Linked DNA regions of Lonchura striata. The protein of the gene in region 2 binds, or shares a complex with, the protein of the main gene of each other region. Links are inferred from orthologs where the notes say so. Each region holds a gene or a part of one and is shown on either strand. Other genes may lie near its edges.

The links. The genes of interacting proteins can lie anywhere in the genome.
Region 1: the proteins of KCNMA1 (region 2) and KCNMB4 are in contact, whole or in part, in a cryo-EM structure (PDB 6V22), measured with the Homo sapiens proteins. The link is inferred for Lonchura striata from reciprocal best matches to the Homo sapiens genes KCNMA1 and KCNMB4. Residues at the interface, in NP_001154824.1 of Homo sapiens: Phe98, Phe99, Leu102, Phe103, Leu106, Leu107, Arg109, Thr110, Tyr113, Leu114, Thr116, Val117, Asp238, Leu240, Trp241, Leu244, Pro327, Trp328, Asn330, Gln332, Leu367; in NP_055320.4 of Homo sapiens: Thr11, Glu12, Ala13, Glu14, Lys16, Ser17, Leu20, Leu24, Ile34, Phe35, Cys38, Trp39, His105, Thr164, His165, Val183, Leu186, Ile187, Leu190, Thr191, Ala194, Leu197, Ala198, Lys200, Ala201, Met204.

What each region holds. Positions count from the first base shown.
Region 1 is NC_134607.1:44,931,309-44,938,588, reverse strand, and holds the start of KCNMB4 (calcium-activated potassium channel subunit beta-4), read right to left. Parts: upstream 3,018-7,280; coding exon 2,679-3,017; intron 1-2,678. UniProt on the Homo sapiens protein: Regulatory subunit of the calcium activated potassium KCNMA1 (maxiK) channel. Modulates the calcium sensitivity and gating kinetics of KCNMA1, thereby contributing to KCNMA1 channel diversity.
Region 2 is NC_134609.1:9,978,756-9,985,698, reverse strand, and holds the start of KCNMA1 (calcium-activated potassium channel subunit alpha-1), read right to left. Parts: upstream 3,019-6,943; 5' UTR 2,617-3,018; coding exon 2,308-2,616; intron 1-2,307. UniProt on the Homo sapiens protein: Potassium channel activated by both membrane depolarization or increase in cytosolic Ca(2+) that mediates export of K(+). It is also activated by the concentration of cytosolic Mg(2+).

The DNA of each region.
Region 1 (7,280 bases), on a different chromosome or scaffold from region 2:
ACCTCAACATAAAATCCTGAAAGCTTTCAAAGACAGCAAGACTTTAAATCAAAAATTAAAGGAGAGTATAACTGTTTGTCTCTGCAGACATTGAATTAGGGAAAAAAAGGGAAAACCAAATAAACAGATCCAGACTTCAGTCCCTTACAAAGGTATGTTTCCTGATGAGACCTGACTTTTCTGCTTATTTTGTATTTGTTTTACATAAGCTTCTTAAAGTAGGGACAATAATTAGAGCACATTTTTTTTCTGCACAATTTTCCACTGAGATAAATTCAGTTACTACCAAAGACTACAGTTACATCAAAAAAAATGCATCCTTTTTTGCTTGGTCACATCTGGTAAATCAGATTTAATACTCAGCAATCAATATCCCAGGGTAAACAGCCCACACCTAGAAACACAAGGTGAAAGGTAAAGAAAAGAGATTATATTTGTAAAAGCAGGAAAGTACCACACACAGCCAACAGCCCTGTTTTATTATTAAGAGTTAACATGAAATTAATTGTTAAATAAAAATAGTTTTCTGAGTGATATTTACAGGCATTACTTCTCAAGCTTGGAGTGCCTCCCTGCAATTGCAATTCAGCCCCCGGGCAGGTGCAATCCTTCTCTTCCCACCATAGTTACAGAAAGGCAGAAGTAAATAAGATCAAGAAGTAAAAACAAAACAAAACACTTGGACTACTCAGAATGGTATTGCAGTCACGGTCCAATTTGAAAGCTGCTGCTGAACCTGCAGATGCTGCCAGAGCTGCTGAGCCCAGGCATTCTGGTGGCAATCAGCACTCACCTCCCATCTCCCACTTTCCATCTCCCAGCTCCTTGCTGGAGATGACCACGACTGAGCCACAGGGCCACGCTCAGGGAGAGCCATGCTGCCCCTCTGCAGAGCCACGTCATCTTTACCCCATATCAAAAGGGTGACTTTTCTCCTGCATTTTACCAACTCCCCCCGCCCACCTGAAAATGGAGAGATGCTTAGAGAAGTCCTGCAGCTCGGACAGCTAGGGCACTCCCAGCACACCTCTGCCACCGCACCCCTCTGCACAGGGAGCCTGGCAGCAGCACTCCCAGGAAAAGATTTGCAAAGCTCCCTCACAGGCCAGCATTTCATCTGCTTTCTAATCAGGCTCCATCCAGCACTGCAGCTTCAATCACTCATCACTTCTGAGCAGTGCCAAAAATTTAATCCAAATCCTGTCAGATTTACTATCCTGCTACTTACTCTTCTGATTTTTACCCTGACCACCCTTCCAAGCTGCCAAGGGGGGAAAAGCAACCCTCAAACCCTGAGTGTGAAACTTTATCTGCCTTCCAAGTGATGGAGCACACCCGTGCAAGTATGACTGAGGAGAGTGAGGCTGCACATCCCAGCTGGACACCAAAGCATGCTTCCCAGCCCTGCAAACACACCCCTGCATTGTGCTGAGCATGGCCCTTAAGAGTGTAGTGGCAAGGAAATTTCAGCTCTTTGACAGAGATGTGGATGCAACATAGTGCTAATTCCAAGTTATTTCAGAAGGAGGAGGATTCCGACATCTTCTTCAAACTACTTAATAATATCTCCTCCACTCATGTGCGTGCTAGGAAAGCCATTTTACCCAGCATAAAAAGAAAAAGGAGAAGGAGGAATAACTGCCTTTAAGGAAAGAGAAAGTACAAAAATCGTACATTGCCTTCAGACTCCCCCAGTTTGCTGGAAGATGCAACTTTACAAATTCTTCGTTTGGTCCTTGGAGGAGTTTAAGAATCAAAACAGCACGGGGGAAACTTTAGTTTTGGTGTAGCCCTTTCCCCGCCAGCAGCGGCCCCATTAGCATTTCTCCGTGCGCTCCGGGGAGCGGCACTGCGAAGTCCCGCACCCTCCGGGACGCGCACCGCAGCGGCACCGGGCGCTGCCCGAGCACACAGACCTCCCCGCCGGCAGCAGGACTTTCGCCTCCTCTCCGCACCGGCGTCCCGGGGCTCCGGCGGGGAGAGCCGGGGAACGGCAGAGGAGCCTCCGCTGCCGTCCCTGCGCTGCCGCCCGGGGCTGCGCTCCGGACGCGGGTGGGACGGACGGAATGGAGCTGGCCGCGAAGGGTGAGAGTGTGTGAGAGTGAGACAGTGTGTGTGTGTATGTGTGCGCATGTACCATACTATACAGTATATAGTACAGTGTAATACACTATATAGTACAGTATACATTACATACAGCATGTTATACTATACTATATAGAATCACAAAATATCCCGAATTGGAAGGCACTCACTGGGATCATCCAGATCACCTCCTGGCCCTGCACAGGACAGCCCCAGGAGTCACACCATGTGCTTGAGAGCGAACGCTTCTTGAACTCTGTCAGCTTTGGTGCTGTGACTACTTCCCTGGGGAGCCTGCTCCGGTGCCCAACCACCCTCTGGGTGAAGAGCCTTTTCCAAGTATCGAGCCTAAGCCTTCCCTGAGATTATATATGTATATAAACACTATAGAGATATACTACTTTTTGCTGAGCAACAAGCAGAGCGGCATTTCGGACGGATACTCCCCCACTTCACTTACCACCCTCCACCTCCCAAAAGAGAAATCCCCGCACCGAACAGAGGGCGAGTGCCAGGAGCGGTGAACGGGCACCGACAGCCGCGACGGGACCACCGCCCGCATTTTGGGAGAGGAGGGCGTCCGCGGGTCTCACCTTGGGGTTGGTGCGCAGCTGCCGCTCGTCCTCATGGAGCAGGGCGGGTGCGGAGGAGCGGGAGGTGCGGACCAGCACCTGGAGGCAGGGGTAGCGGGCGGTGCCGCGGCAGGCGGCCCCGCAGGAGAAGGTGCAGGCGAAGCGCTCCCCCAGCTGCCGCACCGCCAGCACCGTGCAGTTGGCGGAGCCGCCGCCGCCCCGCTCCTGCAGCGCCGGGCGAAGCCAGCAACAACCCAAACCCAACAGGGAAAGCAAGCCGGCGGCGATGAGGAGGAAACCCAGCCGCATGCTCTTGTCCTCCGCCTCCGTGTACTCGTAAGCCGCCCGGCTCCTCGCCATCGCCCGGCTGCCGCTGGCATCCGCCGCCGGGCATCAGCCACTGCCATCGGCTAAAACTACCGCCGCTCCCCGCCTCCATCCCCGCCTCCTCCGAGGCTGATTGCGCGTGTAACCAGCACGGAAAAAAAAAAAAAAAGACAAATAATAAAAAAAGCAAATTTAATCCCGTCTGACCTAATTCAGGGCCCTCCGGGAGTGGAAAGGGACAGCTTGCAACCCGATTATCTGACTGGAGATTTGCTGTGCGGAGGGTTAGTCCGGATTAATATTGGGTACCATCATGCAATGTACAATATCTAGAAGAGGGTGGGTGGGGTCCTTTGGGTGCATTGTGGCCCCCCCCTAAGGCAACATCTCACCACTGGCTTCCTTCTTAAATCTTGGAGATCTTGTGTAAAGTTCCATTCAGTACCCCTAAGGCATCACAGTCTGCAAGGTCTCTATGAGCAGAGGAGGAAATGGATATGAAATGAAAGAAATTAAGCATCCACAAGTGAGAAGTCAGCTTCTATTTTCACCTTATTAATAAAGAAGGGCATAATGGGAATTAGCCAAATGTTAACATTTTTGGAGTTCAAAGTAAAGTGTTCTGGCCAGCCCCAAAACCAGCATCTGCACAGTAGGGACAGAGATAACATGCAAGATGATAGCTATCACACACAGGAGTTGCTTTGAACAGGAAGGTATTGACCCTTGAAGGTTCACCCTAAGAAATGCTGTCTTCCAAGCAGGTTTGCAAGAAAAGCTGCTGATTCAAGAAAATGTATTTATTTGGCAAATAAAGCTTGGTTATTAGCCAGCATTTCCCACTGTGGCAACACAAATTCTTCGGTGCCAAAGTACCATATGCAATACTTATAGTTCTATTCTGTAGTCTTTATCACAGGCAATTAGTATAACAAAATGAGGCCCGAGCTGATAGCTGAACTTGATGGCACTGTAGACAAGAAGGTACAGAAATGCAGAAAAAGTTTGGGAAATAGCACTTTCCTTTTCCAATTTCTTTCCCACTGCAGACTGCAACATCAAACTTTTATAAATGAAGCTGATCCGTAGGTTCTCCAAATGGACTATTAAGCAAGGTTTGGCAGGAAGGCTATTAAGTCCACGCTGTGCCATGAATATAGATGGATGTAAATATTGTCCTTGCTTGCACAAGTGAACCACCGCACTCCCCTCAAGCCAGCTGCTTTGCAGTAGCCTGCCCTGATTATCAAAGGGTTTCTGAAAAAGTATACCAGCTCTGAGCTGGAATTATGGGTTTTTTTACTTAAAACTCCTATAGGTGTTTATACTAGAAACTCAACTCCTCTTGCCTAGTCCTTGGCTCTGTGGCGCCAGCACTTGTAGTGACAGCAGTCTCTAATGGTAGAGGCTTGTTGCATAGTTTTCATAATATAAAAAATAAAATTATAATCAGGTTGATCAGTCACGTACCACCTGAAAGGGAAGCTCCAGCTCTGCTTTCTCAGTTTAAATGAGCTGCGGCTTCCTTCTGTCTTACCTCCTGAACAGCTGGCCTTCCATACTTGGTTCAAGTCCCTGCAATCCCTTGTACATAAAGTGCTGTCAGATGGAAATTAAGGCAACAGCTCACTGGGTGACAGAGCAACCTTGAGCTAGTCCTCCTGTGTGCATCCAAGCCCTACATCCTCCACAGCTGGGGAGATGCTGAAGTTGTACTTTAACTAGAAATGGACTAAGCATTCACCAGGTGATCTCATAGATTCTGAACTTCTGCACCAATGACTCAGTCAAGACTTAAAGTCTATTTGGATCAATTTGAAGTGAAAAATGATCATCAGTGCCTGATCACTGTAGCAGAGTAAAGGGGGCCCATTGTAAAGATTTTAGCTCTGCTGTCACCTGTTGAGGGCAGGAGTGGGGATGCTGGCTCCAGGACCATGGGCTGCACCAGGAGCCACCAGGGCTGAGAAAGCTGGCATATGAAGTCCAACGTCTATATGAAAATCTCAACAGCAGAAGACCAGATTGCTGCCTGCTCTTTTGGGCCCTTCCTTGCCCCACAACCAAGGGACAGCCTTACCTGTGGCCAATTGCAGCTGACCCACCTGGTATGGCCAGTGCTGAGAACACCTCTGCCTTGGTCAGGCAGCTGGAGGCTGGGCAGCCACAGCGCAGCTCTGCCACCACACCCACTCCGACTGCTCACTGGGCCTGGGCTCACACCTCCCTGTTTCCTTGCACAAGCCTCGTGCTGGAGTGCGGGATGCTGACTGCCCCTCTTCCAGGAAATGAACTACCTTTTCCAAAAGCAAATATCTAAATAGAACAACTGAGTGCCTTTATAAAACAAATGCTGTGATGCCCACCAGAAAGTTAACTGGCCTTCCAAGGGAAGAGAGATCTCTGAAACAACCAAACCCACCCTTTACTCAAGAATAAGTTTAGAGAATGCTGAAGGGTTTCCACAGAGGTTCATCAATGTCTGCACCAGAGAGCTTTGGGACACCTGCCTTCCTTTCGCTCCTCATCAGGACTGTTTACAGCTGATGAAGGATGGCCCAATCATAACAACTGGCTACTTCACTGGATTGTTTGCTAAACCAGAGGGAGTTCAAAAGGTGATTTTACAGAAAATTATTTTGGTAGTTTCAACAGGAAAAACCTGACATGTATTAACTCACTAGTACCAAGAAGACAATATAAAATACAAATGAGAAACTGAAGCCTAGAAAAACAATACACAAACTCAGTTCAACACTGCTAATCCAGAAGTGAGCTGAATCAGTAACAGTCAAAACTATCGTTCAATGTGCTTTAACATTGCTTTCAAAAGTTTACCTCTAACAGTAAAGTGGTTTTAAGTGCTAAAGCCACTGAAACTATTAAACCCAAAATTTCAAAGTAGGTTATCCAGCTGCATTTCCTCAGGTCTTTTTAACATAGTGGAAACTTTCAGATTTATGGAAACAAGAGCATGCATACTTATCACAGAAAAATAAAAACTTAATTGACATACTATATATGAAAATAAAACCAGCAGCTGTCAATCCAGACTAACTGCTAAATCCAATCTGCATTACCAGAATTCAATTTCTACTGGCTTTGGGTAGTGGCAAATTTTGAGGGACACAATGAAAAGGTACTTGACAACTAATTTCACATGCTGAAATTTGGCTTGAATAGTAACTGTTATATTTAGGGTCTTAAACCAAAAGCACTGTCTAGGTATCCCATGGTTAGAATGGCAGCTGTGCATTTAGAGGCTTTTCTTGAGTATGACAGCAACCAATTTTTCCTTTCTGTTTCATTCAATGTCCAGCCATGGAATTATTTTCAATTGGAAGTTACCAAGGGATTGGGGAAGGGGGGGGTGAGGGAGGCAGGGGGAGAGGGAATTTTCTTAGAGGTGACTAGCAACTTTGAACAGCATTATTTAGAAGATGGACAGCCTTCTGCCATAGCCATGGTCACCTAGGAGCCACTCAGGAGCAAGATGATGGACCCACAGACCTCTGTTTCCCAGCCCTGCCTAGGTCATGCCAAAGACTGTTTCTGGTCTCTCCTGCATCTGAATACAATACACAAATTCTTATTTGGTTACATTCTCCTTTTCTTTTCATGGAAACTGTAAAACAAACAGGCAAGAAATACTGGCTTGGGGTCAGAGAGGATTTCAGACACGCCATGCAGCCAAGTGATACAATCATACATCTTCGTACTGTAGAAATGCTACACAGCCATGATGGAGTGGTGTGGTCAGTTGTGAACCCCAACAGATGCAGCCAACACTTCATCAAAGGTCAGTCACATGAGAAATATTTTTACCCATGTGAGCATCTGCAGGCTTTCCTGGATTACTTGGGGCTTCAATTAGATTATAATCATGCCCATGAAAGTTCTCATGTGTGTATTTGCAGCACCACACCACTAAGGTTGAGGAGACCAAGTGTGGGGTGGTTTTTTGTTTGCTCATTTTTAAAGACCCCAGTGGAATATGCTTAACCCTTTCCTTCATGACACTCTGGTACCTGTGATTTTCCCACAAGCAGGGTAGTCTAAGTAACAATTGCTGAAATAAGAAGTGTCTTTTGCAATACCAGATGTAATCAAATCAGTGAAACTTATGTTAAACCCTGGAAGTTGAAGGTAGTAGATCTGTAGAGAAAGTGGAGCTAACTATTCAGTAAAGATTTGTAAACAATATGCCACAAGGACTATGAGACATGTTGGACAGGTAAGAAACAGGAATACTTCTACTTCTTTCCAAGAAGACTGGGTTTTCTACTCAGAACTTAC
Region 2 (6,943 bases):
GGAGGAGCTACTTCTTCTAAAATTGCTTTTGCAGCAGGTCCAATAGAGTCAGCACAGCACATATACACATTCACAGTTCTCTCCAGCAGCCTCGGCAGCTTTTCCCAACTCACCAAGCAGCAAAGCATGTGCTTGGTAACAGCAAAGTTTCAGATCATTCCACTTGTTACTTCAGTTACTTCAGTTGGCCTTATACCCTAAATACTAGAAAAGTGTTTTGCAATAACTAGTTATAACTAACATCCTTGCATAAACAGAATTCCCTCCAATTCCTCATTTTATCATATAAGGAATGCAGGATCAGCACTTGAAAGTTCTTTTTCTTTGCCAGTCTTGAAAATCCTTAAAAGTGGAACAAATAGGATCTAAAAGGAGACATACATCTCCCCCTACCTGCAGAGTCCTTTATCCTCCTGCCCCAGGGAATGACATTCATGGAACTACTTCAGTATCAAAGATGAAATAAACTGAAATCTTACAACCTGCCATAGCCATAGTACATCAAACTGTTCAGACTGGAAGTGTTTGAACCCCTCAATACAGCCTGTTACTAAATTGGCACATTTAGCCCAAGAGGTTTTAAAAACAATTTGCACATATCTTTCTACACTGATTAAGAAATGACTGATCTGCTTTAACTGGCTGTGTCCCAGTAATGGACTACCTGACCAACAGTACCCACCAAGAAACCACACATAAGAATCCTGCGTACAAGCCTCTAACTTTTTGCTCTCTCAAGGGAAGAAGCACAAGGTAATAACAGGCAGATTATTATTTTTCATCAAGATCCCTGAGAGCCTGTCTAGAGTCTGTGGAGGCATAAATGCTAAATACACAACAAAACCAAAGCTTAAGTCTTCACTACTCGCCCTTCCTTGAAAACTGCCTTTTACTGCTGTAGGAAATATTATCTTATTACCACAAATTCATTAGAGCTGTGCCATCATACCTGGCTAACACTCTAAGAAAGTTCAGGTTTGGTTTTGAATGAAAAAAAAAATGTGCCTATAGCAAAGTAGTACTGCCTGATAGGATTCCTGATGCTTCAGGCTGACGTCAAAGCTTTTCTTCCTTAACTTTAGCAATCGCTCCTTCCATAGACAGGCCAAGTTCACTGTAAGAGTTTAACTTCCAACTGGAATGTGGAGGTTCATGTAGGCAACCCAAACTACACAACAAACAAGTACCATAAATTTTCATGCTCTGACTTTGTTGCTGGTTTCCCCTAAATGCTGGGCCCTTCACAGAACTGGTGTATGTGCTGTGTGTTTAGGGGGGAGGGGACAGGAGAAAGGGGAAGACAGCTCACTGTACGTCAAAGCAAACCAGCAACCTAGCAACCATATATTAAAAGGTGTGTGTGTTTTTGTGGGTGTCTGTGTGCCAGGAATAACTGAAGCAGATATTATTCCATTTGTAATTCAAAAAATGTGAAAAGGGAAGGGGAGAAACTCCAGTTGCTGATCTGTTCTGGGGTCTGTCAAAATCCACTTTCACAATACAGTGGTAACACTTTCGATCTTATTTTTCGTAATCAAAAATGACAATGTGGACTTGAGCAAGTTCTTAGTTTTGGTTTGAAAATAGACCCTTCAAAGCAGAAACTGAACTTACTTCACATACTATGCTTTCTTCCAGCTGGCAATATGCAAAAATCAAAGTGGCAGAAAGGCTGCCTCAAAGACTTCACACTTAGGTTAAGAGAATACTTAGAAATGTACAGAATACTTCCAGATAGAAACATTTAACAAACAGAAACGTCAAATATTCTCAGGGCGTGAAACTAGCTTTATAAAGATTCATTTTAGTGAGTGAGAAATTGAGCGAGAAATTTACTCGCTCAATTTTGCCGAAGTTTCTCATTCCACAAGGCAACTGAGAGTTTAGATCAGGATATGCAAGCTCCCACCCTATCATATGCGGCCCCAAGGGTGCACATAAACTTCTGATCTGCACCGTCCCACTACACCAGCATGTGCCTCTCTGCCAGGGTGAGCGTCGCACACCAGGTGTAACTTTCATGAAAACGAATGGGTCCCTGCGTGGCGTGGAACAGAGAAGGGGGAACGGGGAGGCGCCTGGCACTGCACGCACCACCTCGCCCCTCCAGCTACACTGCCCACGGTGCACTGCCGGTAGCCCGTGGCAACCCTAAGCCAAGAGCAGGCAGCACATTGCCATCAGCAGCCCGCCGCCACCTCGCCCAGGTGTCCCGCTCTGCAAGGCTGGGCTCCTACTCCTCCTCACCACCACCGCACCAAACCATCACCGGCAGCAGGAGGGGAAGGGAAGGGAAGAGGGAGTTACCTTGTTTTTGACCCCGCAGTGGCAGCAGACAGTCCACAGGTACTTGAGGGTCCTCCAGAGCAGGATGATAAACAGTCCCCCAAAGAAAGTAACCATGGATGAGGCGAGGAAAGCCCACCACATGCGCTGTCCGCGGCTATCGCAGGGCACCTCCATGGTCACCGGGATGATGAGCGCATCCATCTTGGGCACATTGACGGGGGAGGAGGACGAGTCTGTGTTGAGATTGTTGGCGTTGATATTGTTACTCATTCTAATGCCGCTGCCGCTGCCGCCCGGGTAGGAGCCGCCGCCGCTGCCATTTGCCATAGCTAACAGCGAGCCGGGCGCGCAGGGGCTTCCGAGAGCTCCTCCCGCCGCCAGCGCCCCCCAAAAAGCCCATCACCAGCCATATTGCTGCTGCTGCCGCCGCTGCTCAGCGGGGAAAGATATGGAGAGTAATAAAAATAAAAAGCCCCCAGTCAAAACAAACAAATAGCCAAACCAACCAAGCAAACAAAAAAAAAGAAAAAAATAAAAGCAGGTGAAGAAAAGCGACCGCACAATTCCCGGGTCCCTCTCGGGAGCCGACAGGCCGGTGAATTCCGAGCGTCCTCTTTGTACGGCGAAAATAATATTTTAAAAAATTTTAAATAGTAATAAAAATATAGTCTCCTCCTCAGATTCCCACCCCTTCTTTCTCCCGCATACACAGCCCCTACCCCGCCCACCCCCAAAAAAAATCATCCACCACCACCACAAACTGATGCCTCTGAGCGTCTCTCCGAGATACCCAGCGCTGCGACCCCGCTGGCCTCAGCGGGGATCCCTCACTCAGCCTCCGCCGCGGATCCTCCCGGAGGTGGTCTGTTATTATTGTTAATAGTCTTTAACTTGTTATCAGCGACACTTAGTCACCCCCACCGCGCACCCTCCTCCTCCTCCTCTTCCAAGTCCAGCCCCTTCCTCTCTTCTTCCCCCCTCGGTGCCAGCAGCAGCCTCCTGTGGCTCCTAATTCATCCTCCGCTGGCCCATCTGTGCGTGCGCTGCCGCTGCCGCCGCCTCCTCGCCCATCCTTCGGGAGCTCCCTCCAGGGCCCGGCTGTCGCTCAGGCTGTTGCTCCCACACGCGCAGCGGCGCCGCCGGCTCCCGCCCCTCCCTCTGTGCCGCCGGGGGACGCGACGGCCCCGCAGCCGCCCCGGGGGCGCATCAAAGGCCCCGCGGGCCGGGGGTGCCGGGCGGGCCGGGGTGGGGGCGCCGGCTCAGGCGGGCTCCCGGCGCCCCATGGGCAGCGCTCCCCGCCCCGCGGCCGCTCGGTCCAGCTCGCGGCGCCGCCGAAGCGCCGAGCGCCCGCTCCGGAGGACGGCGAGGCGGGAGCGGGGGCTGCGTGCCGGGGCGGGCGCTTCACAGGTGGCGGCGAGGCGGTGCCCGGCCGCGCCGGGGAGCTGCCGGTCCAACAAGTCCCGCCGGCCCTGGCGCGTCCATCGCCGCCGCGCCGCGCTCTCCGCAGCCGCGGTGGGGCGGGGGCAGGCGGCAGCGGCCCCCCCGCGCCGGCCGTGCGCGGGGCCGGTTCGAAGGATGTCATGACGCAGCGGCCAACGCACGGCGCAGTCACGGCCCCCGCAGCCCCGCCGGGCCCCCGCGCCCATCGCCCGCATCCCTCGCCGAGCGCGACCCTCGGCCGCGAGGGCGCCTCGGGGCCGGCGGGCCGGGCTGCAGCCGGGGGCAGCGGGGCAGGGAGGGAACGGGGCGCGCTCGGGGCTCGCAGGAGGCGTTTGAGCTGCAGCAGCAGGTGCCCGGGGATGCGCACGGCGCGGGAGGGGGAAGCTGGCATGGAAACGCGCTAAGGGAGCGTGAAATAAACATCGGGGACCGCGGCGTGGGTTTTTCCGCTGAAGGCGTTCGTGGCTTGTCTTTAATTGACACGGGCGAGTACTGCAAACGCTCCGCAAGCGCACCGTAAATTGTCGCACATCCCAAGAACATTCCTGAATTCAACCCTTAGGAATATAAATAACAATTTAAAACGACACCTTTGGGGAGCATGGGGTGAAAGGGGAAGCCAGCAAGAAAATCTGGACAGTCATCTCCTACTTTTTTTTCGTATTCACGTTGAAAAGCAGAGTAATTTATATGTTTATATGTGTATTCATTTATACATAAATCAAAATCTCCATTTGGCACATGGTCTGCTCACTGGGGTGTCTGTACAAAGTATTATGCAGATCCTCTTGACATCTTTCCAAGGGTAAAATACAGCAGCCTTTGTGTGCGTGACATTCCCCCATCTTATCTAGTTGCTATACCAGCAGAGAACCACCATTATGAAATAGTAATCTCTTAACCTTTAGTAGCAGTAGTTTCTGTTTCTGCATCTGCCAGGGGCTTGTTTGTTTTTGTTTTCTAGTTAAGTGAAGGTAATGAGATTTTATGACTTCCCAAAGCTTTTTACGGGGCTCTCTAACCCTCTCACCCCCACTTTTTTTGTTCAGTAACACCACTGTCTGTCTGACTCAGTGAGTTCATCATGACGTCTCTCTCAAGTCTGCTTCTCCAGTCTGTTCCTTCAAGAGAAGGCTTCCTTTTTCAAGAAGGGTTTAATAGGGGCCTCTGAATAGAGAAGGCATTAAATAATGATATGGAAGTGCATACAGGTAAGAAAAATGCTACATTATTTTTTCCCAGAGAAAAACAGTTACATAGCAGACCTGAAGCAGGCCGTTCCCAGGTGGTGGTTGTAATGGAATTTAGTTGAGAATTTCTAGATGCAGAAAACTAGTCAGATTGAAAAGAAACTGCATGTCACAACTGCCACATGCAAGCCCAGACTGCCAGCACTGCCACAGCTGCTGCCCCCTCCCATGTCTTTTCATTACCAGCCCTCCCCACAACTAGAGACCCTCTTGGGCTGCAAAGTGTTTCCATGACAGGATCACACAATCAGAACCTGGTTCTCACGGTCATTTGCTCTGCAGTCCTGTGAGGAACATCCTTTTCCCAGCTGCACACACACCTAGGGATCCTTTTATCCATCAGCAAACACCTGGAGTGGAACAAGGGCAGGAGCATCGTACCACAGACACTTGAAGTCTGATCTTCAGAAGTGCCAGGTACTTACAGGCACTCTCACAGCTAACAGAAACTACAAGCCCTGTGCACCTTGCAAGATGAGGACAATGAAGAGCAGCTGCCCAGCATATCCCAGGGAAGGTTTTTGCATGATGGAATTTCTTCCATATTCTGGTCTGGCAGATAACAAGAAGTGAGTCTCTGAATCATAGCTGTGACATACATTCTCTCTTGTTTGAGAGGGCTCAGAAGACTTGACAGAGAGGCTGCAGTCTGAAAATACATTTTCTTGCTTTATAGATTCAGAAGGTATGAGTTAAAAAGTATTGGACTCAATACTGCTGCAGCTGAGCAGTGCAGACACTGTTTTCACAAGCACTCCAGAAGCAAACAGGATTGTTAGGCACTTCTGAAATACCATCCCCATAATACTGTACCCACACATACCAAAGATGGTCCTAAAGAAAAACTCTGACTAAAGCAAAGTAAGTGCACAAAATGTAGTCTGTATGTTCAAGTAATTTGATTCCAACATGTTCACACAGAGTGTACATGCAGATTTGGACAGGGATAGCAGATTTATTGTGATCACTTGTAAAAAGCTGCTTTTAAGTTTTGATGCTCAAAACTGTTCATAAACCAACCAACACATACAGTAGGAGTCCTAGTATATAAATTCCACACTATATATCCAGGGGAAAACCTTTGTTTTATCCCTATAAACAAAACTTATTTACATAAATATGGCTCAGTTCTACAAATATTTACCATGAAACTCACACTGAAAAGTAAATATAGATATCAATTGGTAAGACTTACCTTACCAGTTGAAAGTTTCCTTACTAGGAAATATCTGCAAAAGACAAAGCAAAGTAGGTAACTTCGTATTTTGTTCACCTATTCATAGACAGAGGTAAAAATGATCCTTAAATGAATATCCCTTCCATTAAGTCCCATTTGAGCTTTCTCCTTTATGAATAAAGAAAGGCCAGCTTTCCAGTGTAGGCTCTATAAAGCAGAGTTTGAGAAAGCTTCCTGGGGCTGTATGCTTCATTTACTGAGGCAACAGCTCCATTTCACGTTGCCTTAAGACTAAACAAGATTTTCAAGCTCTGCATCCTGGAGAGATCTATTCCAAACAAACAGAAAACTTTAGTGGATTAGTTTTCAGATTAGTTGTCCATTTAATATTTAAACACGAGCTCAAAATTTACTTGGTTAACAATACTATTTACAGAACATAACAAATGCTGTGCTGACCTGTGTTGTTCCTGTTCTTACCACGTAGCATAGTCCAGGATACAGTCATGCCTACTCAATGTAATTCTGGAGGATTTGGTTCCAGAAAGCAATGTTTTAGCAGCAAGGAAATGACTCCTCTTTATGTAAAACAGTTCCCTCTTGTGGATATTCTGTGTACGGTATCACAGAAGTATTTAAAATATTCATCAGTCCTGGATCTTTGCAATTAAAAACTCCAAATCTGTTAATCAATTCTCCAAACCCCTTAGCATTCTTGTTTTAGCAATTAAATATGTGAGGAAGAACAAGCTATTGCATTGAAATATAATACAACTTGCCCAATTCC